3 linked regions of the Macaca fascicularis genome follow. Each later gene encodes a partner of the first gene's protein in a complex. Links are inferred from orthologs where the notes say so. Each region holds a gene or a part of one and is shown in the gene's direction. Other genes may lie near its edges. The genes, in order: MKI67, NIFK and PPP1CC.

Evidence for each region.
Region 2: the proteins of MKI67 (region 1) and NIFK are in contact, whole or in part, in an NMR structure (PDB 2AFF), measured with the Homo sapiens proteins. The link is inferred for Macaca fascicularis from reciprocal best matches to the Homo sapiens genes MKI67 and NIFK. Residues at the interface, in NP_002408.3 of Homo sapiens: Thr9, Ile10, Lys11, Arg12, Ser13, Pro18, His19, Phe20, Pro21, Ser23, Leu24, Arg31, Gly32, Ile33, Glu34, Cys35, Asp36, Ile37, Arg38, Ile39, Gln40, Leu41, Pro42, Val43, Val44, Ser45, Lys46, Thr66, Asn67, Ile91; in NP_115766.3 of Homo sapiens: Val228, Asp229, Ser230, Gln231, Gly232, Pro233, Thr234, Pro235, Val236, Cys237, Phe241, Leu242, Arg245, Gln248, Val249, Leu252, Asp256, Lys257, Asp259, Glu260, Ile261, Val262, Phe263, Lys264, Gln265, Pro266, Ile267.
Region 3: the proteins of MKI67 (region 1) and PPP1CC are in contact, whole or in part, in a crystal structure (PDB 5J28), measured with the Homo sapiens proteins. The link is inferred for Macaca fascicularis from reciprocal best matches to the Homo sapiens genes MKI67 and PPP1CC. Residues at the interface, in NP_002408.3 of Homo sapiens: Arg504, Arg505, Val506, Ser507, Phe508, Gly509, His511, Leu512, Arg513, Pro514, Glu515, Leu516, Phe517, Asp518, Glu519, Asn520, Leu521, Pro522, Pro523, Asn524, Pro526, Leu527, Gly530, Glu531, Ala532, Pro533, Lys535; in NP_002701.1 of Homo sapiens: Val19, Arg20, Gly21, Ser22, Lys23, Pro24, Lys60, Tyr70, Asp71, Leu73, Arg74, Glu77, Tyr78, Lys168, Ile169, Asp242, Leu243, Tyr255, Phe257, Arg261, Pro270, Asn271, Ser284, Asp286, Thr288, Leu289, Met290, Cys291, Ser292, Phe293.

Annotation. Positions count from the first base shown.
Region 1 is NC_088383.1:137,086,138-137,096,135, reverse strand, and holds the start of MKI67 (proliferation marker protein Ki-67), read left to right. Parts: upstream 1-4,702; 5' UTR 4,703-4,993; intron 4,994-5,323; 5' UTR 5,324-5,406; coding exon 5,407-5,498; intron 5,499-7,817; coding exon 7,818-7,896; intron 7,897-7,989; coding exon 7,990-8,105; intron 8,106-9,998. UniProt on the Homo sapiens protein: Protein that associates with the surface of mitotic chromosomes and acts both as a chromosome repellent during early mitosis and chromosome attractant during late mitosis.
Region 2 is NC_088386.1:10,000,882-10,010,919, forward strand, and holds the start of NIFK (MKI67 FHA domain-interacting nucleolar phosphoprotein), read left to right. Parts: upstream 1-3,395; 5' UTR 3,396-3,413; coding exon 3,414-3,518; intron 3,519-4,518; coding exon 4,519-4,656; intron 4,657-7,932; coding exon 7,933-8,041; intron 8,042-8,226; exon of another isoform or gene 8,227-8,429; intron 8,430-9,100; coding exon 9,101-9,312; intron 9,313-10,038.
Region 3 is NC_088385.1:117,608,129-117,617,401, reverse strand, and holds part of PPP1CC (serine/threonine-protein phosphatase PP1-gamma catalytic subunit), read left to right. Parts: intron 1-2,466; coding exon 2,467-2,598; intron 2,599-4,043; coding exon 4,044-4,274; intron 4,275-9,273. UniProt on the Homo sapiens protein: Protein phosphatase that associates with over 200 regulatory proteins to form highly specific holoenzymes which dephosphorylate hundreds of biological targets.

The DNA of each region.
Region 1 (9,998 bases):
GCTGTTTTTCTAATGCATGTTTACTTGACAACACTAAATATGAACGGCCCTCTGTGATTTTATAAAATGTAGGCGCGTTTTCTTTGTATATTAAATTCATAACTTTCGGACCCAAGATGTTTAGAAGAGAGCCCAAGGGCACCGGGATACTAGAACCTGGAGGGGAGGCAGGAGGTGAAGGCACCACTGGCCAAATCCTGTCCTCCTGTCAGAGTTCCACTTGGGGATTGGTTGGTAGACGACCGAGGTCAACTGCTTTTCATTTGATTTCACTGCCCAGGGAACCAAGGACACGGGGTGGACAGGAGCTTGGACTCCAGGCAGTGAGCTCAGCTTTGGGCCCGGGTCGAAGCCAGGCAGATGCTGCTGGGTATTGTATGTGCCCGGGTTTCAGGGCTGGAGCTGACAACAACCGCACACTCCAGGATCTCGTAGATGTGTGCCCCGCACTTCCCCCCCGCCCCACCCCCCGACCCTCTTCCCGCTAAATTTTGAGCTGGAGAGAGTGCCATGGCCCCATTCACAAGGCCCTCAGTCCTCCACTTCTCTCCAGGGGTGCAATTTCTGGCCTCCCCCATCCCCGCCCTGTACCCCTAAGTTAGGGTCTTTATCTCCACTAATTGGAAATGGGGGGCGCTTGGGGACAGTGATGCTTTTTTTGGGGCAGGGGCAGAGATAGTGAAGTTCCGGGACCCTGGTGCTTTCTTGATTGGTGCAGCGCCCCTCTCTGCAGCCACTCTAGGGTCCCAGGGCCTGGGCAGTGAGCCAGGTGAACCGCCGGAATCCAGGCCTTCGCGTGGACACTTCTGGGGGCGCCAGTAGCCCAGGAGGCCGAGCCCAGGGTGTCCACGAACTGAGCCTCCATCTTCCTGCCCCGGCGGATGGGGGCGGGGTCAGGGATTGTGAACTTTAAAACCCGCCCCCCCACCTCCAAGCCGAGGGCGTCCACTGGGACCGCTGGCTGGGAGCTGAGATGTTGGAAGGAGCCTCAGGTCAGGAAGGAAAGAAACTCACAAACAGGACAGGAGCCAGAGCTAAAGAGACCGCCCTTGCCGGCAGGGCCGCCCCTCCAAGACTCGCCCAGGCTGACGGAAAGTCTTCCAAGGTAGCTCCCCGCACGAGTCCTTTTTGCGTGTTTCTACTTCACTTTCCCCTCCGAATTTATCCTAAGGCACCTCACATGCTTTTGTATTAAAGGGTCTTTTATACACTTCTGTTCTACTTATCTGAAACTCTTCCTTGCCTTTATTATTTATTTATTTATTTATTTATTTATAAGACAAGGTCTCACTGTGTCGCTCAGGCTGGAGTGCAGTGGCGCAATCTCAGCTCACTGCAGCCTCCACTTCCTGTGCTCAGGCAATCCTTCTGCCTCAGCCTCCTAGAGAGTTGGGACTACAGGCCCACGCCACCAGCCTGGCTAATTGTTTTTTTAATTTTTCGTAGAGATGGAGGGTCTTGCTATGTTGCCCAGGCTGATCTCCAACTCCTGGCCTCAACTCCTGCCTGGGCCTCCCAAAGTGCTGGGATTACAGGCGTGAGCCACCTTGCCTAGCGTCTCTTCTTTTTTATGTATACATACACATACATATTACACAGGTATTTATATACATACTTACTAAAACAGTTGATGAAACAACACTATCACTATCTTAAAATGGATCAATAAATGAATATTTTTAAATTCATGTTTGCAATGTTTCAAATTACATTTTTATGAAACATAAGATCAAATTTTATTGTAAGTATATACTCTAATCAGATGGATGGACACAGTTAAGGGAATTGTTGGATATTTCCGTTATTGGTTGCCTGGGGCAATGTGCATTGTAAGTTTCAGGCAGATGAGATCTGCAGCTTGGGAGTAAGAAGGGTGAGAAGGACCCTGGGGCATGGACTCCTTTGGAGACCTGTCCTCTGGCTGACTGATTTTGGACATGAGAGAGTGTGAACTGTGAGGATCTGGAAATGGATTCCCTGAGACTCCCCAGATCCACATAACCCCTGGAAAGTCTCTTCCTGCACATCTTGGGTCTCTGGTGCTCTAGCCACAAGCTTTTGTTCCACACCCCATTAGAGACGCTGATCACACTGGATGGAGACACAGGGCCAGAGGCCAGCCTGGGAACGGGAGGCATAGGGCTCTTCTCACAGTCCAGAGATCTGCGTTTATTATGAAGTCTTAGGCTTTGGGCCAAGTTTAAAATTCAACAGAAAGCCCCACTGCAAAAGTCTATCATAAAACAGTTTAAAGACAGGCTCTCCTTTGGATCTAAGATCCACCACTCTGACCATTCCCCTGTATCTTTCCTTTAATTTCCTGCTGTCTCTTGAGAATTGGTACTCTGTGTTCACTAGTGTTTGGATTATCGGACAGATATTCTAGCATCTCCTAGTTCTGTTTTGAGGCAGAGTCTCACTCTGTCGCTCAGGCTGGAGTGCAGTGGTGTGATCTTGGCTCACTGCAACCTCTGTCTCCTGGGTTCAAGAGATTCTCCTGACTTAACCTCTCGAGTAGCTTGGATTACAGGTGCACACCACCATACTGGGCTAATTTTTGCATTTTCAGTAGAGACGGGGTTTCACCATGTTGGCCAGGCAGGTTTTGAACTTCTGGCCTTAAGTGATCCACCCACCTTGGCCTCCCAAAATGTTGGGATTACAAGCATGCGCCACTGCACCTGGCCTAGTACCTTCTAGTTCTAATTAGGCTGCATCCATGAGGGTGGAAGAACTGTCCCTGGAAACAAGCAGTAATTAGGATGTGAAAAGTTGTATTTTATGGGGTTATGCAGTGGTGAGCTTTGTTTGATCGTTTAATGGAAAGAACATGGAAACTCATGCCCCCTAAAACGTTTATGTAATAGTTTCCCTGCATTGAATTTTTCTACATGAGACTTGGCCCATACAATTTAGAGTTGCTGTCCTATGCTTTTATGTTGCTTTCCCAGTTTCTCTGTTTCCATCAGCAGCTGATATCTTTGTAGTTGCTCTAGAGCACAGGGCTCAGTCTTTTCAATCTTGTGGTCTCTTTACACTCTTAAGAATGATTGAGAACCACCAGGAAGTTTTGTGAATGTGGATGGGTTATATCTAGCTATATTTATATATTTTAAGGCTAAGGAATTTAAAAATATTCATTTATTGATTCGTTTTAAGATAGTGCACCTGTTTGATGCTAACACCAATAACTTACCTTTATGGAAAAAAATCTGCATTATCCAAAACAACAACAAAATGAAAACAGCACTTTATTTCACATTTTTGCAAATCTCTGTAGTGCCTGGTTGAAACGGAGACAGTGGGAGTCTCCTCACTGCTTCTGTATTTGCAGAACCGCATCCCACACTCTTGGGAGCATGAGAATAAGAAGGACAAGTAACACTGAGGGCCATTAGAGACATGGTTTTGATCTCATGGACCGCCCTGAAAGGAATAGGAAGCCCTTAGGGGTCCCCTCCAAACAGTGAGAATGCTTGCTCCTGATCAAGGAAGCCAAGCTCCAAGGGTTGCTGGGGAGCTGGAGGAGGTGAGATGGGGCTGCAGGGAGGGTGTCACCAAAACCATGGTTGGGCTCCATTTACTTCACCCCAGGTGGCCCACTGAGCCCACATGGCCACCAGCGCAACTGAAGCAGACCCTGATAGAATCCTGTGTATAATTATTTTAGGATTCACCCATCTTGGCATGCACAAGGCATTTTAATTGAAGAATGTTTTCTAATAACAAAACGTTTTAAACCTAAATATGTGGCAATAGTAAAGATTAAGTAAATTATGGTTTCCCGAAGCCCAGTGCTCTGCAGCCATCAAACAGAGAGTAAAAGCGAGAATGTACTGGGTGGAGATAGCCTCAGGATATTTAAAAGCAGAGAACACAAAATATAGAACCGTGTTGTGTATGTTATGATCTTTTTTCTGTGCTTTTGAAAAAGAGAATACACGTATAGCTGGAAAAGACACACCAAACACACCAAACCATATAATTGGTTGTGTTTGGTAAGATGTATGCACTGAAGAGGAAGGGTTCAATTTTTTTTTTTTTTTTTTTTTTTTTTTTTTCTGAGACAGGCTGGAGTGCAGTGGCGCCATCTCAGCCCACTGCAGCCTCGACCGCCCTGGCTCAAGTGATCGTCCCACCTCAACTGTCCCAGTAGCTAGAACTACAGGCGCGCCACCATGCCTAGCTAATTTTTTTTAGAGATTGGTTCTCTCCAGGTGCCCCAGGCTGATTCTGAATTCCCGGGCTCAAGGGATCCTCCTGCTTCAGCTTCCCAAAGTGCGGGGATTACCGGCGTGAGCCACCGTGTCCCGCCTGTTTGCAATTTTTAACAGTTTTAAATCTCCTGGCAATGAGTAACGTTATAGTTTCCCAGGTGTTTGGTCCTTTAAGAAAAGGATGGCAGGACGGGTTATCTCGGTGGGAGCGTGTTCCACCTCTGCCCTCCGCCAGTCGCCCTCGCCCGGGCTGCACCCAGGTATTTTCCTCCGGATGAATGAATGGCTCGCCCGCGGACACGCCAGCCCCGCCCCAGGAGCCCCGTTTCCGCCTCCCCTCCCCGCCCACTCCCTGGCGCCCTTCCTATTGGTTCCATGCCGCGCTTTCCCGTTCAATCGCAGCGCTTAGCGCCAGAATTTGAATCTCCGTTTTCGTTTGAATTGGGCGGGCGCGCCGGTTTGGAGGAAGGAAGTGGCGGGCGGACGCAGCGGGCGGGCGGGAGGACTCGGCGGGAGCCCCTAGAGCCGGGCGCCCGGGGACGTAACCTGTAGGGCCACCGGGTCCCCGTCAGGGGCGGCGGCGGGAGCAGCGGGGACCGCAGGCCGGGGCGGAGCGAGCGCGGCCCGGCGGGCTGCGGCCGGGTGTGTGCGGCGCGTGGCGGGCGCAGCTTACCAGGCGAAGGTGAGCGCGGCGCCGGCTCCTCCTGCGGCGGACTTTGGGTGCAACTTGACGAGCGGTGGTTTGACAAGTGGCCTTGGGGGCCGAATCGTCCCAGGTGAGCTGCGGCCGGGACGCCTGGGAGCTGTCCGGGGTCGAGGGCTGAGCCGCGGGGAACCCCGAGCTCTGCGGGGACGGACGCGCGGCCTGGGCCCGACTGCTCCTGGGCTCTGGCGAGGGCGTCTGGGTGGAAGCTCCCGGGAGGTGCAGGCGCTGGCGACAGCACTCCGGCCGCGGGACTTTGGGGCGCCAGGGGCTGCGGTCGGGTTGTGCTGGGGTCCCCGCTGGCTAGCTGCGGTGTGCGCCTGTGTGGCCGGGGATAGGTGGACTGAGCACGCGGCTCTTCTTAGCTCCTTTGCTATCAGAGTAACCCGCACCTCTTTTGCAGTGGAAGAGTTGTAAATTTGCTTCTGCAAACCTTTCGGTACCTGGCCTTCCCCTACGGATTATACTCAACTTCTTGTTTAGAAAATGGGGCCCACGAGACGCCTGGTTACTATCAAAAGGAGCGGGGTCGACGGTCCCCACTTTCCCCTGAGCCTCAGTACCTGCTTGTTTGGAAGGTGAGCCCCGCGGGCGCGCGCGGACATTTCAGCTGAGAAAGAGGAAAATATCTTAGTCACAGTACACGGTCCAGAAACGCGCTCTAGGATTGGGTCCTGCTGTCACTTTTCCTTGGTGCTTCTCCCATTCGTTACTAAGTTGACATAGTTGTGTTTTGTTTTGCCAAATATAAATTTGATGCTAGTGTTTGTATAGGTGTTTTCAAAAATCAAGCCAATTTAAAAAATCGATTTTCTAATCTTACGATAAAGAAAGATATAGATAATCTTCATACCTCACTGGCTTCAGGCAGGCGTCTGAAGACACTGTGCGCCCCCGGGTCCCTCCACACTGGACATCACTGGCCACTGGGGACCCTAAGAGAATGGAGGAAGGAAGCCATACACTTGCCTCTTGGCGGCAATAGGAAAATGGGACAGAAAGTCTTCCTGCTTGGAGTTTGAGAACATTTTCTCTTATGTTGCTGTCCCATTTGGTGGTGGTAATAACACAGTCCCTGTATAACAGGCAAAATGCTAACAATGCCCCTATCAGCCTCTGACATGTGTCCCACTAGAGGTCTGAGAAGGGGTCACTTCCTGTGTGGTCTGGGCCCTGAATCCCATCCTGGCCTCACCCCATCCTCCCAACCCCATCCCTACCTTGTTCCTCCTGCCTAAGGCATTCCAAGCCCTTGTTCACCTTGGTACTTCTTACACACTTGGAAGTTTATGATGGGAAAGTTCTCCCCTTCCCCAAACTTGTGTGATTTCCATCATTCAGGCATCAGGTGAAATGTCACCTCCGAGGAAGCCTTGCATGAAAATTTGTGTTTCCCATCCCACAGCTTCATGGGTGAGTTGTGGGTTTGTTTCCCACTAGGCTGAGCTCCCCAAAGGCAAGGACTGTCTTGTTACTACACAGGGGGTGTGATCAATACCTAGCATTCTGGCAAGGGTCAGTAGAAACACCGGCTGGAGCCACCGATTTGCAATCGCTTAAGAGCAGTGGTTCTCACAGGAGGGTCATCTTACCTTCCAGGAGTCATTTGAATTTCCATGTCACAATACAGGAAGGGGACATGTGCCGTCATCGCAAAGGAGAGGTCAGGGTGGACAACCTACCAGGCTCAGGGCAGCCCCCACAATACAGAAGCATCTGACCCAAGATGTCAACAGTGCCAAAGCTCAGAAACACCCATCCACCCATAGTCGTCCTCCTGCCAAACAAATTCTCAGTTGTAGGGGATAGTCTCTCCTTTGCTCAGATGTCCTGTTACCTTAAAGTCAAATTATTTTATTTGGGGTTAAGGTAGCTTTTCACTTTCCATGGATACCTTTCTCTTGAAAAGGAAAAATATAAACATTTCATCTCAAGTGGCAGTCCTTTTGCTTTTCATACAGTAGTCCTTGAATGTATTTTCATGCAAGATTTTATAATTTAGAAACTAATTCCTAAGTGTTTGGTCACATGACCTGGGTAGGAAGAGAGATTCTTAGACTCCAAAGGTTCGGATGGAGAACAGACAGGGCATTGCATAATTTGTTCAAATTTTTAAGATCACGGGCTAGAACAGGCACACTGAAGACTCTAGGAACCTACTAATGAACTGTTCTGATTATTAGTTTGTGTAGGTTTAGGAATTGTCTCTTCCGCTACTTTGCTGTGGTGTTAGCTTTCTGTGGAAAAACAAGTTGAATTTAGATTTTTTTTTGTTGCGCACAAGTTAGTATTTTTATTTAGAGACTTTTGAGTCTGTCCGTAAATTCAGTGTAGTTTTAAAACAACAATGAAAAGCTCACCCATAATGAGCATTTACTATGTGCTAGGCAAATTAGTGACATGTACATCCATTTAATTGTTTGAACATCACATGATGTACTCTATTGTATATGAAGAAACTGATGCACAAAAGTGCTAGCATAAAATAAGCACATTTGGGGATGATTAAACCTCTAAACATATTTAACATTACAAACAAACGTTTTTGAGAAAGCACAGAGTATTAAAAATAGTCATTTTCCAAAATTGATGTAAGTACTCCTTTATTTGTGTCTTTTAAGTATAGCTTTTTATATAAAAGGTAATTCAATTTGTATTCTAGTGTCTTCCCTTATTTTCATGTACTCTGTTTTAAAGATCTAATAGTTACATGATTAATACTTCCAAAAGTTCTTTGCAAAATGCAAGATCGTTTACATTGCCCATTTTGTTACTCCTTTATGTCAATTATGTTTACAGATCAAACATTCTAGTCAAATTGTGTTTTATTTTGGGAAACTGAGGTAATGTTTTAAAAAGTTACAACAACCAAAAAATCCTTCTTCTTTCGCATGAAGGGGTATTGAATGTGACATCCGTATCCAGCTTCCTGTTGTGTCAAAACAACATTGCAAAATTGAAATCATTGAGCAGGAGGTGAGTGGTTTTCTGGAGATCTACTTTTAAAGCTTTTAGTTCACTTTCAATCTGTTCATTAGTTACATATTTTCCCCTTTTTTTCACTTGCAGGCAATATTACATAATTTCAGTTCCACAAATCCAACACAAGTAAATGGGTCTGTTATTGATGAGCCTGTACAGCTAAAACATGGAGATGTAATAACCATTATTGATCGATCTTTCAGGTAGGCAAAAGCTGATTGGTCTAACAGTAAATGTCATCTTCTGATTAACTGTAAATTAGTGTCGTAGTCAACTGTCATTCTTCTTTAATGTTCATGGATGTCAAAGTATTTCAGGTTTTCATTCTCAACACTAATCTTAATTTAAGAGGATATGGATCTAGAAAGCTGACTAATTGGGACAAAATGTGATGGAATTCAAGGATTTGGGTGCAAATAATTATGCAGAGGAAGGTTGACCTTGTCCTAAAGGAGTTTGTTATTTTCTTCCAAGTGTTGTGAAACTGCATGAGATTTTTCTATTCTTTTTTATTTTAAAGCAAAATACACTCAGAGAAAAAGGTACAAAACAAGATAGACAGGTCAATTTATCATGTGAATACCCTTTTGATCACTACCTATTGTAATAGGACTGATTTGTGCTCTCCCAAAATTTATATTTTGAATTCTTAACCCCTCGTACCTTAGGCTGTATTTGGAAAGAGGGCATTTAAAAAGGCAATGAAGGCTTTTTGAGGCCATTAGTATGGGCCCTAATCTGATGATTGGTGTCATTATGAGAGGAGATTAGGGAACACATGCACAGGAAAGCCCACGAGAAGAGGCAGCAAGAAGGCAGCCATCTGCAAGTCAAGGAGAGAGGCACAGAGAAGTCCAATCCAGCTGACACCTTGCTCTTGGACTTCTGGCCTCCAGCACTGAGAAGGGCATGTCTGTTGTTCAAGGCGTTCAGTCTGTGGGACTTTATTATGGTGGCCCTAGCAGACTAATATACCACCAGCTTATATAGAACATTTCCAGAAGCATTTTAAAATGCTGTTTTCTAATCACGACTTCCTTCCCTCAGCAAGTAGACCACCGTTTTGGCTTTCAGGATATCAAATGTCTCGAGTTTCACTGCCTAAGCATGGATCTCTGAACACACTACAGTTTTGTCTGTTCTTATGAAAATCCTTAACAGTGATATAAGAATGTATACATTTGTGCCTGGCTTGTGCTTTTATGTGTGTGAGATTCATAGCATGTTGGGCATCTCTGTAGTTTGTTCCTTCTCATGGCATAAGTATTTCACTGAAAAAAATATGTTTAATATATACAATAATATACATAACTATACAGAGTTCATTTATTCTTGATGGACATTTGACTAATGTCCAGTCTTTGAAATGTGTCAGGGTTTGCTTTATGAGCAGATACGGTTAATTATTTTACTAATCTGCCTTGTGTAATTGAAAACTATTCTACAGTGCCTCAGATATTTTATTTATATACGTGTGTGTATATATATACACACACACACACACACACAGATACACACACTCCCGTTAGATTCAAATCTTCTATATTCTAATAAATTTTTCCCTACTATTCTAAGAGATATGTTCAAATCACCTACTGGGGATTGATTGATTGATTTGTTTTGATCTCTTGTCAGTTTTTGCTTTGTATATTTTGAGGCTGTACTATGGTGTACAAACTTACAATTATATCTTCTTGGTGCATGGAACTCTTTGTCATTTAGAGATGTCCTCTATTTTTAGCAATGCTTTCTTTTCTGCTTAATGTTTCCTTTGGATGATGAATATGGCTAAACTAATTTCCTTTTGGTCAGTGCTTGTGTAGTGTAACTTTTTCCACCCCCTTAATTTTAACTTTTCATAATTTTTATGGTTTATTTTAAGTTGTCTCTTGGAACCTATTGTCAGATGAACTCTCGTGTTTAACTGGAATATCTTCTTGCTGGATTGATCCTTATGTAAAATGTCCTTTTTCTCTATGAATAATTTTTGTCTGAGGTGATTTTGTGTCATGTTAGTATAGCACTCCAGTTCCCCTCTGCTTGCTGTTTGCATGGTATATCTTTTCTCATGCTTTTATTTTAAAGGATTGTGTCTT
Region 2 (10,038 bases), on another chromosome or scaffold:
ACACGGTGAAACCCCGTCTCTACTAGAAAATACAAAAAACTAGCCGGGCGAGGTGGTGGGCGCCTGTAATCCCAGCTACTCGGGAGGCTGAGGCAGGAGAATGGCGTAAACCCGGGAGGTGGAGCTTGCAGTGAGCTGAGATCCGGCCACTGCACTCCAGCCTGGGCGACAGAGCGAGACTCCGTCTCAAAAAAACAAAAAGAAAACACAATGGGAAGAGGGCGCTTAACTGGAAGAGCTGACTTTGCTACAGCCTCAGGGATGCCCCCTTGGGGGTGACAGTGGAGCTGAACCGGAGGGTGCCGGGGTGAAGGAGGCGAAGGCTGTGAGTGAGGGAGGCAAGTGTCTGTCAGAGGAAGTGGGCTGGCCTCTGCTAGGCACTCCCTCCCAGGGCCTCCACCTCAGGCCCACAGGCCACTCTTCAGGCACACACACCCTGGGCTGCCCTCAGGGCTTCCAGAGGGGGGTGCTATCCCCTGACGCTAGCTGTGCTTGATCTGTCACTCTCGCCTCACCTCCCTGCTTCCTCGGCAATCCACTCCCCACTCTTCCTCTCCACTCAGTTACTCACTAGTGTAATAGTATTTGAAAGGTACAAACAGGTCGGGTGCGGTGGCTCACACCAGTAATCCCAGCACTTTGGGAGACCGAAGCGGGTAGATCACTTAAGGTCTGGGGTTCATGACCAGCCTGGCCAAAATGGCGAAACCTCGTTTCTACTAAAAATACAAAAATTAGCCAAGAGTAGTGGTGCGCACCTGTAGCCCTAGCTAGTCAGGAGGCTGAGGCAGGAGAATCGCTTGAACCCAGGAGTCAGAGGTTGCAGTGAGTGAGCCGACATCGTGCCATTACACTCCAGCCTGGGCAACACAAGACTCCGTCTCAAAAAAAAAAAAAAGACAAGACAGAGGTGACAGCGTGCTAGCAGCCCTCGGCGTCCGCTCTGGCCACGCTGGAGGAGCCCTTCAGCCTGCGGCTCCACTGTGGGAGCCCCTCTCTGTGCTGTCCCAGCAGCTCCCTCTGCTTGAGGGGAGGCGTGGAGGGAGAGGCGCAGCAGGAACCGGGGCTGCCTGCAGTGCTGGTGGGCCAGCGCAAGTTTTGAGTGGGTGCAGGCTGGGCCAGCCCTGCACTGGAGCGGCAGTGAGGGGCTTAGCACCCAGGATAGCAGCTGCGGAGGGTGTGCCAGGTTCCCCATCAGTGCCAGCCCACCCACGCTGTGCTCAAATTCTTGCCAGGCCTCAGCTGCCTCCCATGGGGCAGGGCCAGGGACCTGCAGCCCGCCATGCCCCGCAGTGGGCTCCCGTGCAGCCCAAGCCTCCCCAAGGGGTGCAGCCCCTTGCTGGGTGGCGCCCCTTCCCATCTACCCGCCCAAGGGCTGAGGAGTGCAGGCACGCGGAGCGGGACTGGAGGGCAGCTCTGCCTGTGCCCCCTGTGCTGGATCCACTAGGGGAAGCCAGCTGGGCTCCTGAGTCTGGTGGGGACTTGGAGAACTTTTATGTCTAGCTTATAAATATACCAATCAGCACTCTGTGTCTAGCTCAAGGTTTGTAAACACAACAATCAGCACTCTGTTAAAACGGACCAATTAGCTCTCTGTAAAATGGACCAATCAGCAGGATGTGGGTGGGGTCAGATAAGTAAATAAAAGAAGGCTGCTCCAACTAGCAGTGGCAACTTGCTCAGGTCCCCTTCTATGCTGTGGAAGCTTTGTTCTTTTGCTCTTGCAATAAATCTTGCTGCTGCTCACTCTTTGGGTGTGCACCGCCTTTATGAGCTGTAACACTCACCACAAAGGTTTGCAGCTTCGCTCCTGAAGCCAGCAAGACCACAAACCCACCAGGAGGGATGAACGACTCCAGACGCACTGCCTTTAAGAGCTGTAACACCGCAAAGGTCTGCAGCTTCACTCCTGAAGCCAGTGAGACCACAAACCCACCCGAAGGGAGAAACTCTGAACATGTCCGAACATCAGAAGGAACAAACTCTGGACACACCATCTTTAAGAACTGTAACACTCACCACGAGGGTCTGTGGCTTCATTCCTGAAGTCAGGGAGACCAAGAATCCACCAGTTCTGGACAAAAAAGGTGTAAACAGCCACAGCCTCGCTTAAAACCCAACCACCCCCTCGCATTTACAACAAAACCCCAGTTTCATACTTTGACACACAGAGCCATGGGACTCCAGCCTGCCCCCTCGCAGCTCTTCCCTCCTACGCTGGGCTCCAACCCCACTGCTGGGTCCTTCTTTCTATACCTAGGAACACATGTGTAGGCCTGTCTGATCCAGCAGATGGCAGGGCCTCAGTTCTCCAGACCCTGCTCCTTAGCCTTCAGGCTTCGCTGCCAACACCACCTCCTAAGGGGGACCCTCCTGCGTCACCCAGTGTGCCTCTCCCCCACGAGGTTCTTTCATCTCTCAAAGCAGCCATGCTGCCCCAGGCTGTAAATTCTCTAGGGGTCTCCACACAGGAGGGGCTCACACACTAGTGAGTGAAATAACCAAATTAGGGCTGGGCACGGTGGCTCACACCTGTTATCCCAGCACTTTGGGAGGTTGAGGCGGGTAGATCACCTGAGGTCAGGACTTCGAGACCAGCCTGACCAACATGGTGAAACCCCATTTCTACTAAAAATAAGCCAGTGGGGCGTGGTGCGGGCGCCAGTAATCCCAGCTACTCGGGAGACTGAGGCAGGAGAATCACTTGAACTCTGAAGGCAGAAGTTGCAGTCAGCTCAGATTGAGCCATTTCACTGCAGCTGGGGCAACCAGAGCGGAAACTGTTTCGAAAATAATAATAAGCAAATTGAGGAATGTGAGCAGCATCTCGGGCACCAGTACTGTTTTATAATTGTAGACCGCCTTTCTAAGTAGGCGTGAAGGTAATTGTTTCAGGCACTCTTAAGCCAAGCCAATCGGCGCCCCTACAGCGGAGGGCGCGGAAACTATCCCCAGCCCAGCCCCAGACCCCACTCCCCCCCGCCCCGGGGCCCCCCTGCCCCGCACCGCTCTGTCCACCCCCCCCCGTCTCCACCCCCACCCCTGTCCCCACCCCACCCCCGTCCCGCCCCACTCCCCACCCCCGCCTCGGCACAACTCACGCCCGGTGCCGCGCCTCCGCGCGACTCATGCCTCTCCCCGCCCCTCGCCAGGCCTCGTGCCCCGCCCTCGCACCACGGCACAATTTATGCCCCGTCCCGCGTCCCGCGCCCCGCGCCTCGTGCCCCACCCCCGCTTCTCCGTGCTACTCCTGCTCCAACCCCGCGCGCGACTCATGGCCCTCCCCACCCCTCGCCACGCCTCGCCTCCGCGCTTCGCCACGCCCCTGTCCTGCCTCTACTTCCGCCTCAGGGGAGCTGGGAGCCCGTCGTTTCCGGGAGCGCCGCGTGGAGTTAGTGTTGGCCGCTTTTGGCATGGCGGCTTTTTCTGGCCCAGCTGGGCCGATCCTGTCGCTTAACCCGCAGGAAGATGCCGAGTTTCAAAAGGAGGTGGCGCAGGTTCGCAAGCGCATAACCCAGGTGAGCAGGCACCCTGGTCCAGGCTGCGAGCGGGGGCGACGGACAGGGTCTAGGGGGTATCCGGGGTTGCGCGGTTCCCCGCCCGGACTCCCCTTGCCTTCGCGCACGCCTTCCAGAGTATCCTTAGCGGATTTGACCGAATCAGGGACCCACCTCTTAAGCTTGCAGGCCACGGTTTCTGAGACTAAAGGGTTTACGCTGGTGGGTAAATGATGGAGAGGTTTGGCCGCTGAGGCCTTGGAGCCTTCATGTGGAGGGTAAGGGGGAAGTATTGGGGTGACGGAAGCCGCGGAGGGAACCACCTGGAGGGAATAGGTTCCCATACCACAGGTTGTCTCCGGGTTAGACCTGTCACGCTTCCGCGTTCCCCCCGAAAACGGGGGCCCCAGACTTAACACATTCGGGAGGTTTGTATGCCGGGTTGGTGATCTGGGAGTTATTAAAATAGAGTAGTTGCCAGGTTCCGCTTGCTGACCAGGGCCCCTGACATCGCTTATACTTTCTGTGGTTTTTAGCATAAACTACACAGGAAAACTTAGAAGTTCTTGTTACAGAGGTAAGGGTATGATGGTTGAGACGCTGAAAGGCTAATCTGTATTGTGAGAGTTAGCAAGCGTCTCGAAAATTTTTCGATGAAATGCGAGTAAACAGTAATATGCATACAAAATTGAAGGCTATATTTATGTAGAGTTCTCTGGGCAGAAGATCCAAAATGGCTTGTTCGAAGATGTCCTTGCTTATCCGTTGATTGACATAGTTATTGAGCACTAACATTATACTGGGTGCTGGGATGCCAGGCTGGAAAGATAGTTGATTACTGCTTGGCCATGGCCTTTGTGGGGAGAGAGACACTCAACAGCCACTTCTTTAATTACTACTGTGGTAAGTGGAAATGCGGAGTAGGTTCTTGGGCCTAGGGCTAGGGGTTTTGTAAGTTTTGTTACAATGTGATTTTCTTATTTTAAAAAATATTTAATTTACCTGGTCTTTATGTCTTCAGCGGAAAAAACAAGAACGACTTACTTCTGGAGTAGTCTATGTGGGCCACCTACCTAACCTACTTAACGAAACCCAGATCTTTTCGTATTTCTCCCAGTTTGGCACTGTGACACGATTCAGACTGTCCAGAAGTAAAAGGGTAAGATTTTTAAAGTTGGATTTGACGTTTTGTTTTTCAAATGTGTGTGATTCTTGACATTAAAGAGCACGTTCACATACTCTTATCAGATTTCATTCCAAAAAGAAGAGTGGAGGTTTAGAATCTGAAACATAGAATCCCGGCACATAAACTTGGGTTGTAGCCATAGGCACCTATTTGATTTAGCATCTAGGGGATAGGGTGTGCATCCATCATCTGTTAGTTGTCCTAAAGATACAGATTATAGGTAGAATTGAGGTCCCTTTTGTACCCTTCCCAGTGTTCTTCACCTTCTCCTTTAATTAGGGAATTAAATTCACAAATTCCGTTTTCTTTTTTTTGAGACAGAAGCTTGCACTGGAGTGCAGTGGTGCGATCTCAGCTCACTGCGACCTCCGCCTCCCAGGTTCAAGCGATTCTCCTTGCCTCACCCTCCCAAGTAGCTGGGATTATAGGCACCTGCCACCACACCTGGCTACATTTTTTTTGTGTTTTTAGTAGAGACGGGGTTTCATTAGTTGGCCAGGCTGTTCTCGAACTCCTGACCTTGTGATCCTCCCACCTCAGCCACCCAGAGTGCTGGGATTACAGGCGTGAGCCATCGCTCCTGGCCACAAATTCAGTTTTCATTGCTATATATGTTTATAAGTTTTTACTGTATCTATATATATATGTGCTACAACACGTGTGTACATATATAAATGTACATATAGTATTATTTTAAAATTATTTCTATCATTCTTCAGCTGAATTTTTTTACTCAATAATCTGAGCTTTATCCGTGTAACTCTAGTGCCTTTGTTATCATCATTGCTTGTTACTTAGGTAACTAAAGTTTATCCACGCTCCTATTGAACATTAGGTTTTGTTTTGGGGTTTTTTTTTTTTTTGAGACAATCTCACTCTTGTCACCAGGCAGCTGTAGTGCAGTGGTACGATCTCAGCTCACTGCAACCTCTGCCTCCACATTCAAGTGATTCTCCTGCCTCATCCTCCTAAGTGGCTGAGATTACAGGTACTGGCCACTGCACCTGGCTAATTTTTATATTTTCAGTAGAAACCGTGTTTCACCATGTTTTGGCCAGGCTGGTCTCAAACTCCTGACCTCAGGTGATCCGCCCACCTCGGCCTCCGAAGGTGCTGGAATTACAAGTGTGAGCGAGCCACTGTGCCTAGCCTGAACATTAGGTTTTTTACTATTTTTAACTCTTTACATGAAGCTGCTAGGAACAATCTTTGTGCAGGTATAGACAGATTTTTCTAGAAGAGCATTTTGCAGACTGGCTCACAATAAGAAGTAAGTTTTTACCATCACAGAGAAGATGAGGGTTTTCAAAAAAAGTTTCATAGCACAAACCAGCACACATACACATACATGTAAGCATAACTGAAATAAAAGCCATATGAGACAATATTTAAACTTGTTTTGTGTGATTTGCTGATTTTCTATTTCATTCTATTCAGGGTTTTTTTGGTTGTTGTTTTGTTTTGTTTGAGACGGAGTCTCGCTCTGTCGCCCGGGCTGGAGTGCAGTAGCACAGTTCCTCAGCTGACTGTGACCTCTGCCTCCCAGGTTCAAGCGATTCTCCTGCCCTCCTCCAGACTAGCTGGGATTATAGGTGCCCGCCACCATGCCTGGCTAACTTTTTTTTTTTTTTTTTGAGACAGAGTCTCGCTCTGTCACCCAGGCTGGAGTGCAGTGGTGTGATCTCGGCTCACTGCAAGCTCTGCCTCTCGGGTTCACGCCATTCTCCTGCCTCAGCCTCCCGAGTAGTTGGGACCACAGGCGCCCACCACCACACCTGGCTAATTTTTTTTTTTTTTGGTACTTTTTTAGTAGAGAGGGGGTTTCACTGTGTTAGCCAGGATGGTCTCGATCTCCTGACCTCATGATCCTCCCGCCTTGGCCTCCCAAAGTGCTGGGGTTACAAGCGTGAGCCACCGTGCTGGCCTTCCCCCCCCCTCCCCGAAACGGAGTCTCACTCTGTTGCCCAGGCTGGAGTGCAGTGGCGCGATCTTGGCTCACTGCACCCTCAGCCTCTTGGGTTCAAGCGAATCTCCTGCCTCAGTCTCCTGAATAGCTGGGATTACAGGCGCACACCACCACCCCTGGCTAATTTTTGTATATTTAGTAGAGATGGGGTTTCACCATATTGGTCAGGATGGTTTCGAACTCCCGACCTCAGGTGATCCTCCTGCCTCAGCCTCCCAAAGTGCAGGGATTACAGATGTGAGCCACTGTGCCCGGCCTAATTTTTGTATTTTAGTAGAGATAGGGTTTCACCATTTTGGCCAGGCTGGTCTCTAACTCCTGACCTCAGATGATCCACCCACCTCGGCCTCACAAAGTGCTGGGATTATAGGCATGAGCCACCTCGCTTGGCCTAGTTTTTCTTTTTTGAGATGGAATCTTGCTCTGTCGCCCAGGCTGGAGTGCAGTAGCACAATCTCAGCTCACTACAACCTCTGCCTCTCAGGTTCAAGTGATTCTCCCAGCTCAGCCTCCCGAGTAGCTGGGATTACAGATGCATGTCACCATGCCCAGCTAATTTTTTGTATCTTTAGTAGAGATGGTGTTTCACTGTGTTGGCCAGGCTGGTCTCGAACCCCGGACCTCGAGATCCACCCGCCTCGGCCTCCCAAAGTGAATTTTTTGTGTTTTTAGGGGAGATGGGGTTTCACCATGTTGACCAGGCTGGTCTTGAACTCCTGACCTCAGGTGATCCACCCTCCTCAACCTCCCAAAGTGCTAGGATTACAGGCGTGAGTCGCCACGCCTGGCCTTCTCCTCCCTTTTGAGTGTTGAGATTATAAATGGATTTTGAGGGATTTAAATTTTTCCAAGAATCCCCCTGTTGAAGATAATTAAGCTGAGACTCAGTTGTGGAAGTGTCCAAGTTGCTCGTTACTGACACAACTGGTGCTAGAAATGAGCCTCTTGATTCCCACTGTTAAGCCATGTGGCTTTTAAGTTGAAGACTTTTTTTATACCATGGGGTGTTGTTACTGAATAAATTCCAGCCATAGGAACTGTGTATTTATCACATATAACCAAAATCCCAAGAATACCACAAAATCAGCTGTGCGTCCAGATTCTTGCATCTTTTCTTTTTCCCATAACAGTCCCCAGAATATGTGAATTGAAGTTAGAATTAAGTGTGTGGTAATATTTGATAAGGAGCTAATATACATTATTTAAAATAATGGCATTTTAGGAATTTGATGATGCATTCAAATTTGATTGTTCTACTTTTTGTGGCGACTTCTCTGTTGCAGACTGGAAATAGCAAAGGCTATGCATTTGTGGAGTTTGAGTCTGAGGATGTTGCCAAGATAGTTGCTGAAACAATGAACAACTACCTGTTTGGTGAAAGACTCCTGGAGTGTAAGTGCCCCTGTCTTACTGCAGGGTTGCCTGGTGCCTGCTGCTGGTGGGTGACTGGTGGGAAGGGCGGCGTGCCCAGCTGCTTGGACATGCCACTTCATCTCTGGGATGACTCTTACAGAATGGTGCAAGGACTTCAGTGTATGTTGCAGGCAGATTCTAATTGGAATTTTAAAATCTCCCAGCCTGAGAGCTGTTTTTACCCTCAATGGAACCGAACAAGTTACCTTGGGGACACACGGGAGGAGCAGCTAACCATCCTTATGGGCTGTGAAAGGCTTCTCTGAGGAAGCAGCATTGACATTGAAACCTGAAGACTAAACAGGAGCGAGCCAGGTGAAGGGGACAGGAGTCCCTTGGCTGAGGAGCAGTGAATGCCAAGCCAAAGGTGCCTAACCATTCGGCTGTGAGAGAATGTGAGGAAAAGTAGCAAGAGAGGAGGGAGCAGGAAGAAGCTTCAGGTCAGGTTACCGAGGGCCTTCTAAGTCAGCCAGTTCAGAATTTATCATGAGGGCAGTGGGGATAGCATCAAAGGTCAGGAATCGCATTGCAAAATCTGTCTAAATGGCAGTGGCTGCAGCGCTTCCACACGAGAGAAGCCAGAGGGAGTGGAGGAGCGATAGCACGAGGTGAGTAGTGCGTCTTGCAGAAAGCAGCCAGTGCAGGTTCGTCCTACAGAAAGGAGCTAGCACAGTTCCTACTCTGCAGAAAGGAGCCAGCGCAGCCCCTACCCTGCAGTCCATAGGATGCAGAGAGCATCCCTGTCCAGATCCTGCTGCCCTTGGGAGCCAAAGTGAAGTTTCTGGCCTCCCTGTGCACATGGTGGCATGTGGCCGTCTTGGGTACCCAAGTTCACAGCTGATGAGGCTGACCCGGTAGTGTCTCTATTCACTTCCCATTGCTGTGAGAGAAGCTGGGATTACAGGTGTGAGCCACTGGACCCAGCCACATCATTTTGTTATGTGAGGAATGGCACTGGGGAGATTCTAAAGTTAGCATTAAAATCTCTTTCCTACCATTTTGTTGAAACTTTTTATGTTTTTTTCTTTTTAAAAATAGGTCATTTTATGCCACCTGAAAAAGTACATAAAGAACTCTTTAAAGACTGGAATATTCCATTTAAGCAGCCATCACATCCATCAGTGAAACGGTATAATCGGAATCGGACACTAACACAAAAGCTACGGATGGAGGAGCGATTTAAAAAGAAAGAAAGATTACTTAGGAAGAAATTAGCCAAAAAAGGAATTGATTATGATTTTCCTTCCTTGGTAAATATTCGTGAAATCTTTTTTGTGGTTTGTTGTGGGGAGGGGAGGGGGCGACTTTGTACCTTGTAAAGGACCTAGCCTAGTGCTTATCACAATCTTGGCTCACTGCAACCTCCACATCCTGGGTTCAAGCAATTCTCCTGCCTCTAGCCTCCCAAGTAGCTGGGATTACAGGTGCACACCACCATGCCTGGCTAATTTTTGCATTTTGAGTAGAGACAGGGTTTCTCCATGTTGGTCAGGCTGGTCTCGAACTCCTGACCTCAGGTGATCCACCCACCTCAGCCTCCCAAAGGGTTGGGATTATAGGCGTGAGCCACTGTGCCCAGCCAGTTTTTTGACTAAACTTTTTTTTCTTTTTTTTTTTTTTGAGACAGAGTCTTGCTCTATTGCCCAGGCTGGAGTACAGTGGCACAATCTCAGCTCACTGCAACCTCCACCTCCCAGGTTCAATCGATTCTCCTGCATCACCCTCAGGAGTAGCTGAGATTACAGGTGCGCACCACCACACCTGGCTAATTTTTTGTATTTTTAGTAGAAATGGGATTTCACCATGTTGGTCAGTCAGATCTCGAACTCTTGACCTCAGGTGATCCGTCCACCTCGCCTCCAGAAGTGCTGGGATTACAGGTGTGAGCCACCATGCCTGGCCTGGCTAAACTTTTGAAACATTCCATTGTAAGTTCTTCCTAAAACATTGTGAGACCAGATTCTGTTATTTCCATT
Region 3 (9,273 bases), on another chromosome or scaffold:
ACATTATTTGTTGCTCAGTTGCTGTTTTATTAAATATGCATCTGTTTCATATCTTTCCTCGAAGACTATCATTACTATGCTTTTATTGCTTCTTGTTGTATAACATTTTTATCAGAATGAGACTTAGTTACATATTTTGGGGTCCAAAAGTGAACTTTATAACTGTAAAATTAAGGTACATTTAGCAGTTTAGTGCTACTTTATCTGTATCTAATGACTGTCCAATCTGTTATGACTGGAACAAAAACAGAAAATTTCTTTCCCACAACTACCTACCTGCTGACAAGTGAGCTCTGTTGCAAAGTTTGTACTTTGGTAGAAGAACCCTAAGTGCTCTGGTGGTGTGGATGCCCCATGCTGTGCAGTGATTTCTTTCTCCCATTATTACCTTATCTGTTCAAATTATTAGGAAACGTGCTTTCTTACAGTATAGCACATGACTGACATCCTTTGCTACAGACGTGAGCATAAACACAAATGCAGGCCCAGAAATTGCATGGCAAAATAAGTACAACGAACCAACATTTTCTTTTTTTTTTTGAGATGGAGTCTTGCTCTGTTGCCCAGGCTGGAGTGCAATGGCGCAATCTCCGCTCACCGCAACCTCTGCCTCCCTGGTTCAAGCGATTCTCCTGCCTCAGCTTCCCGAGTAGCTGGAATTACACGCATGTGCCACCACTCCCGACTAATTTTTGTGGTTTTTTTTTGTTTTTTTTTTTTTGAGACAGAGTCTCGCTCTGTCACCCAGGCTGGAGTGCAGTGGCCGGATCTCAGCTCACTGCAAGCTCCGCCTCCCAGGTTTACGCCATTCTCCTGCCTCAGCCTCCCAAGTAGCTGGGACTACAGGCGCCCGCCACCTCGCCCGGCTAGTTTTTTGTATTTTTTAGTAGAGACGGGGTTTCACCAGGTTAGCCAGGATGGTCTCGATCTCCTGACCTCGTGATCTGCCCGTCTCGGCCTCCCAAAGTGCTGGGATTACAGGCTTGAGCCACCGCGCCCGGCCAATTTTTGTATTTTTTAGTAGAGACGGGGTTTCACCATGCTAGCCAAGCTGGTCTCGAACTCCAACCTCAGGCGATCCACCCGCCTCAGGCTCCCAAAGGGCTGGGATTACAGGCATGAATCACCGCGCCCAGCCAACATTTTCGTAATGAAATGAAAACAACACAAACATTTTTTCATAGGTAAATTAAATCAGAGATTCTCAGGAGGAAATACCCATGGTCCCATGGTCCTCTGAAAAACACTGATGGGGAAGGTTCTGAGGATTTCCAATCCTGTTTCTTTTCTTTTTTTTTTTTTTTTTTTTTTTTTTTTTTTTTTTTTTTTTGAGACAGAGTCTCTCTGTGTCACCAGACTGGAGTGCAGTGGCGCAATCTTGGCTCACTGCAACCTCCGCCTCCCAGTTGAAGCAATTCTCCTGCCTCAGCCTCCCGAGTAGCTGGGATTACAGGTGCACGCCGTGTTGGCCAGTATGGTCTCGATCTCTTGACCTCATTATCCGCCCGCCTCGGCCTCCCAATGTGCTGGGATTACAGGTGTGAGCCACTGTGCCCGGCCTCCAGTCCTGTTTCTAATAGCATTCGCAGAGACAGGATGGCCCCTTTTTTTGGAATACTATAAAAGAAGTCTTGGCCGGGCGCGGTGGCTCAAGCCTGTAATCCCAGCACTTTGGGAGGCCGAGGCGGGCGGATCACGAGGTCAGGAGATCGAGACCATCCTGGCTGACACGATGAAACCCCGTCTCTACTAAGAAATACAAAAAACTAGCCGGGCGAGGTGGCGGGCGCCTGTAGTCCCAGCTACTGGGGAGGCTGAGGCAGGAGAATGGCGTGAACCCGGGAGGCGGAGCTTGCAGTGAGCTGAGATCCGGCCACTGCACTCCAGCCTGGGCGACAGAGTGAGACTCCGTCTCAAAAAAAAAAAAAAAAAAGAAGTCTTACTTGATATCGAAGATACAATTAAATCTTGTCTAATATTTTAAGATTCTAATTAGACATTAAAACCATGTTTAGGCCGGGCGCGGTGGCTCAAGCCTGTAATCCCAGCACTTTGGGAGGCCGAGACAGGCGGATCACGAGGTCAGGAGATAGAGACCATCCTGGCTAACACGGTGAAACCCCATCTCTACTAAAAATACAAAAAACTAGCCGGGCGAGGTGGCGGGCGCCTGTAGTCCCAGCTACTTGGGAGGCTGAGGCAGGAGAATGGCGTAAACCTGGGAGGCGGAGCTTGCAGTGAGCTGAGATCCAGCCACTGCACTCCAGCCTGGGCGACAGAGCGAGACTCCGTCTCAAAAAATAATAATAATAAAAATAAATAAAACCATGTTTATTATAAGTGTCCTGAAAATGAAGCCACTCAGAGAAAGCTAGTTAAACCATGTTTTTGCCCATTTATCTAAATCTTGTATTGTATTTTGTATTTTGGCTTCATTAGACTAATTGTGGTTTTTCTCCTCTGCAGTGAGAGGGTCCAAGCCTGGTAAGAACGTCCAGCTCCAGGAGAATGAAATCAGAGGACTGTGTTTAAAATCTCGTGAAATCTTTCTCAGTCAGCCTATCCTACTAGAACTTGAAGCACCACTCAAAATATGTGGTAAGTTTGGGGCACACAAGTTATCTTTGGTTACGTGATTGATTAACTGAGTCAAGAATATGTTGATGACCTTGTATTAGCTAGCAGAATCATTCTCCTGTTTGTGAATAGCTTGGAACTACTAAAAATTAAGTTAAATAGTAGCTTTAGAATAAATACCTCTAATGGACTTAGTTTACTTAGAGATACTTCAGATTTTTTAAAAAAATATTTTGCTGAAGGAATAAACATTGCAGAAGAAAAAATGAAACTAAGAATGGAGAGCCAAGGAAAGGTCTGAACTACATAGATGTATAGGAATATGTTTTAAGTTTAAAGCAACACTGTTTATAACTAAAAGTAGAACTTCCTTGATGTTGATTTTGTGGTTCTGTTTTCTGCATAATGGAAGCAGATAATTTGTGTTTTAACTCAATGTAAAACTAAACTGTTTTCATTTGCGTAATATATTCTTATAGCATATTTGCATTGATAAAACTTTGTATTCTTTTTTTTTTTTTTTTGAGACGGAGTCTTGCTCTGTCGCCCAGGCTGGAGTGCAGTGGCCAGATCTCAGCTCACTGCAAGCTCCACCTCCCGGGTTCACGCCATTCTCCTGCCTCAGCCTCCCAAGTAGCTGGGACTACAGGCGCCCGCCACCTCGCCCGGCTAGTTTTTTGTACTTTTTAGTAGAGACGGGGTTTCACCGTATTAACCAGGATGGTCTCGATCTCCTGACCTCGTGATCCGCCTGTCTCGGCCTCCCAAAGTGCTGGGATTATAGGCTTGAGCCACCGCGCCCGTCCATTTTTTTGTATTTTTTTAGTAGAGATGGGGTTTCACCGTGTAGATGGTCTCAATCTCCTGACCTCGTGATCCGCCCGTCTCGGCCTCCCAAAGTGCTGGGATTACGGGCTTGAGCCACCGCGCCCGGCCTGTGTTCATGTTTTTAAAAGTAAAATGTTCTTTGGCATTATCTAGCAGGGAGAAATTGAAAGCTAAATGCATTGATGGGTGGGGGGTGGGGGTCGTGTGTATGTGTGTATGTGCTTTGCTCAGACTGGGCCAAGGCTCGCTAAAAGTGCAGCAGTTCTGCTGACACAGTACCTAGAGACTGAGCTATCAGGGATCTGATATTGATCAGTCATCCTGAAAGGAATACCATGTTACTTGGCAAGAAGGCATGCCTGGACATAATAACCCTTTCCACAGAATAAATTCTTAATTAGTTGAATTTTGTGTGAGGTTCTGGACATACACATATACTTAAAAATTTTATTAAGTTCAATTGAACTAAATATGATGCCAGTTTGGAAATTACTTAGTGTTGGCTGTCCAATTAAACTCTCATTACTAGAGGTCAATGCCATTGTACAATGAATTTTTAAAGAATTTCTTTCTAAAGCTTTGTTAGTGGATTGAGCTGTAAGTATGGGAACACTGTGTAACAAAATTCTTGCTTCTAGGTGACATCCATGGGCAATACTATGATTTGCTGCGACTTTTTGAGTACGGTGGTTTCCCGCCAGAAAGCAACTACCTGTTTCTTGGGGACTATGTGGACAGGGGAAAGCAGTCATTGGAGACGATCTGCCTCTTACTGGCCTACAAAATCAAATATCCTGAGAATTTTTTTCTTCTCAGAGGGAACCATGAATGTGCCAGCATCAACAGAATTTATGGATTTTATGATGAATGTAAGTACTTTTCTATATCTCAGGAAGTTATTGAAATTAAGATATTTATCATAAACAATTATCACGTACTTCTGTTAGGAATTGTGAGAGTTTAGATGCAGTGGTATCATCTCTCATGTTTTCTATTTCATCAACTTGTTTTTAACTTAGCTTTTTAGGGGAGGTGGGGGAACAGAGTCTCACTCTGTTAACAGCCCAGGCTGGAGTGCAGTAGCACCATCTTAACCTCATTGTAACCTCTGCCTCCCAGGCTCAAGCGATCCTCCTGCCTCAGCCTCCCAGGTAGCTAGGACTGCAGACATGCATCACCACGCTCAGCTAATTCATGTATTTTTTTGAAGAGATGGGGTTTCACCTTGTTGCCCAAGCTGATCTGAAACTCGTGGACTCAAGGAATCTGCCCACCTAGGCCACTCAAAAGTCCTGGGATTACTCGTGTGAGCCATGGCGCCCAGCCAGTTTTTTCTCTCTTGGGTAGAAAAAGAACACTGCCGCTATAATAAAATAAGGTCTTGGATTCTTTTATGATGTGATGATCAGATTAGGAAATAATGATCATGGTAGTGGTTTCTTTAAGATGTAAATTGTTGTATTCACAGATAACTTAATTCTTGGTAGAAATCTGAGAACCATTCTAAATAGTTTTAAGCAACTTTATTATGTAATTTCATTCCATAAAATTAATCTGTTGAAAGTATACAATTCAGTGATTTGTAGTAAATTTATAGTTAACGCGACCATCTCACCGTAGCCCCCAGGCAACCACTAATCTACTTTTTGTCTGCTAGAGAACATTGCATGCAAATGGAATCTTGGCAATGTGTAAATAATTAGTTTTTGAAATTATTATGGTTTTTCTCCTCTGGCATAACCGCACCCAGGAAGAATGGCAATAACTTTCCTAAAACTAAAATGTGCTGAACAAAGATTATTTTTACAGTATTTTACGCATTTTGTGACTCATTTTGGATTGTTTATTTAAAGGTGCACTTTGATTTGACTATTGACAAAACACAGTTCTTAAAGCTTTGCAAATAGGCTGGGCGCAGTGGCTCACGCCTGTAATCCCAACACTTTGGGAGGCCACGGCAGGTGGATCATGAGGTCAAGAGATCGAGACCATCCTGGCCAACATGACGAAACCCTGTCTCTACTAAAAATACAAAAATTAGCCAGGCGTGGTGTCAGATGCCTGTAGTCCCAGCTACTTGGGAGACTGAGGCAGGAGAATCGCTTGAACCCGGGAGTCGGGTTCAGTGAGTCGAGATCACACCACTGTACTCCAGCCTGGGTGGCAGAGTGAGACTCCGTATCAAAAAAAAAAAACTTTGAAAATAATCAGTTTGATAAAGGGTTTTACGTCAGAAAAGGTTTTGAATCTTTACCTTCACCTTCCTTTTGTGCTTATTTCTGCCAGGAGGGGTTTCAGGTTTGGAGTGAAGGGGTGGGGTGGTTAAGGAACTTCAGGTAGTTGGCATTTGCTAATATGATTATAGGGAGATCAGCAAAGTGTTGTCCCTGTGGCCCTCCCCTAGACCACATCCTAACTTAGAGTCTCCAGATGTGTGTTTTTCCATCTCAGTTCACATAGATGCAGTGAGCTAGCACATTTGTTAGAAGTGCATCCTAGAAAGATTATATTCACAGACTGAGCCCTTCTACTACCACCCTTTCCCACTACTGGATGTTTGCTTGGTCTGTGTCCTTGAGATCCAGCTGGTAAGATGAGGTGGCAGGAATGATCAGGGACAAAAATTCTGTGGGTTCTGGACTGACTGATACCATTGAACCTGTACAGGAAAGATATTCGATATTAACAGGGATTCTGTGTCAAAGAAGTACCAGTAAGCCAGTTACTACTCCTTAGGTAGTGAAATACAAGGCAGATGTGGTGGGTTTTTTTTGTTGTTGTTTTTTGTTTTTGAGACAGAGCCTTAAGCTGGAGTGCAGAGGTAGGATCATAGCTTACTACAACCTGTAATTTCTGGGCTCAAGCAATCCTTTCACCTCAGCCTCCCTAAGTGCTGGCATTACAGGCATGGGCCACCACACCCAGGCAACATTGTGTTTTGGATACTTATTCCAAGTGTTACTCTTGAGTTAAGAAAGGGTTCCTTTTACATAACTGTTAGCCCAGTAAATACTTTTCATGTTTGCACTGATGAATTCAAATCCATTTGACCTCATTGTTGTGACTTCTATCCTAACGTAATGATACTAGCTGCATCAGTTTCAGTTTCTACTCAATGCAGAGGCCTTTAAAATGACTTAGAAGATCAGTGTCGGTTGGTATCAGTTTCGACTCCTGTTTGATCATCAACACAGTTTATAGATCAAGCATCCTCTCTCCCATCAGGCAGATACAATTTGCCATCCAGTCTACTTGTGGGCATAAAAGTGCCCTTGACATAGGTGGCTTCTGGTTGAAGGCTTGCAGACATTTAGTATATATATTATATATATTAATTTTATTAAAATGAAAAGTTGTATTCAAATGTTGATTTTCATGGGACAATTTTAAAACCACTGCCTGTTTTCCAGGTACATAAGTACTTTATACTACCATTTCTTTTTTGTTTGTTTGTTTAAATTTTGCAAATGTGATGAAAAGGCTGAGGTATATGTTGTTGGGTAAAACAGGAGTGTTTGTTGATCCATTTCTGCTATCGGAGCTGTCTGATGTACAGTAATGGGAAACTGCATTACAGGTTATGGCTCAGAATCTTAGGATTTGGAAGCTAGACGATTTCCCTGGTTAAACCTTTTAGGACCCAGATGTTCCTAGTGGTTTGAGGTGGCCTTAGGGAGGATATGAAGAGAGAAGAGAAAGAGACAGCCCCACGCTTCAAGTGCTGAGAGGCAAAAGGAGGAAGCAAACTGATTTTTCATGGAGAGGCCAGCAGAAATCGGCAAGAGAAGAAACTGGAGTTTGTGGCATAACTAAAGAATCAAAGGCCGGGCATGGTAGCTCATGCCTGTAATCCCAGTACTTTGGGAGGCCAAGGTGGGTGGATCACTTGAGGTCAGGAGTTCAAGACCAGTCTGACCAACATGGTGAAAACCCATCTCTACTAAAAATACAAAAATTAGGTGTGGTGGTGCACACCTGTAGTCCCAGCTACTCAGGAGATTGAGGCAGAAGAATCCCTGGAACTCGGGAGGCTGTGGTTGCAGTGAGCCGAGATCACATTGCTTTACTCCACCTGGGTGACGGAGTGAGACCCCACCTCAAAAAAAAAAAATATCCAGAAGTGAAGCTGACCTTGGGGAAAGAGGAAGTCACTATCACTGGGGGGCTAAGGCAGCAGCCCTGTTCTTATAATACAGGTTAAGTATTCCTTACCTGGAATGCTTGGGACTAGAAGTGTTGCAGGTTTCAGAGTTTTGTGTTTTGTTTTGTTTTGTTTTGTTTTAATTTTGGAATATTTGTGTTATAATTACTGGTTAAACATCCCTAATCCAAAAATCTGAAATCCGGAATGCTCCAGTGAGCATTTCCTTTGAGCATCATGTGAGTGCTCAAAAAGTTTCAAATTTTGGAGCATCTTGGATTAAGGATACTCATCTTGTGGTGGTGGTGGTGGTTAGTAGTAGTATTGCTGTTGGACATGGGAGGTGGTGTTTTTGCAGATTGCCCATCAGCCTTTCGTAAGGAGGAGTTTGTTGGTTTTTTTTTTTTTTTTTTTTTTTTAGATGGAGTTTCATTCACTCTTGTTGCCCAGGCTGGAGTGCAATGGTGCGATCTTGGCTTACTGCAACCTCTGCCTCCCAGGTTCAAGCAGTTTTCCTGCCTCAGCCTCCTCAGCCTGGCGGGAGGAGTTTGTTGAACTTTCAGAACCCCTCCAGTGAAGGAGTTAGTAGCCTCTAAAGAAATGCGCAACAGGGTGACCCACAGAGTTAGACCCAGTCATTGAGAAACCAGAAATTACTAGGAGAAAAGATAACACTCTTCTCTGCAGAGAGAAGGCAAACATTTGTTGAATTTACATTACATTTCAAGCCCTGTGCTAAACTCCCTAGACTGCTTGATTTGCATTACAGGGTGGGAAGTGTGGTTCAGGTCAGTTGTTTGGGCTGGCCCTAACTCTCAAAGGAGAGGTACAGGTTTAAACCTTTCGATGTCCCTGTAGTCCCCGGGAAGAGACTAAGGACAAACTCTTGGTTTGGTTTGGTTTGGTTTGGTTTGGTTTGTTTTTTGAGATGGAGTTTCGCTCTTGTTGCCCAGGCCGGAGTGCAATGGCACAATCAAGGCTCACCACAATCTCCGCCTCCTGGGTTCAAGCGATTCTCCTGCCTCAGCCTCCCAAGTAGTTGGGATTACAGGCATGCACCACCACACCCAGCTAATTTTTGTATTTTTAGTAAAGAAGGGATTTCTCCATCTTGGTCAGGCTGGTCTCAAACTCCCAACCTCAGATGATCTGCCCGCCTTGACCTCCCAAAGAGCTGGGATTACAGATGTGAGCTACCCCGCCTGGCCAAACTGTTGGTTTTTAAAGATTGTGCTTAGTAAGGTACAGGAAACAAAGGCATCTGGACAATTGGACAGTCCTCAACCAATCCAGAGAAATTTGTTCTTGCAAGGTATGTGAGTAGGTTTTAAACTCAGAACATCAGTTTCCTGTAGAAACAGTGCATAGTGGCATATTTCTGTCAGAACTGCACTCTGACTCCAGAATGTGTGGATGCCTGTGCTGGTGAGAGAACGTGACCACCCTGTGACATCAGGCCTGTGGGAGCATGTGGAGTCTGTGCAGTGTTGGAAACAAATGCCCTGTAGTGCCTGTGAGAGGCACCACTGCCGTGTGATCATTGTGCCTCCTGCTAGAGCACTGAGGCCTGGGGATCCTCTGGTATCTGTAGGTTGTTGAGGGGAGTACATGGGGGATGGGTGCTAACTCAGGATTCCTCAGAAGGAAGGTCGTAATGCCACATGGTGTAAGTTCGTAATCGCCTTAAGAATTAGGGAACTAGCTGCGGTGAGATTGAACAAAGCATA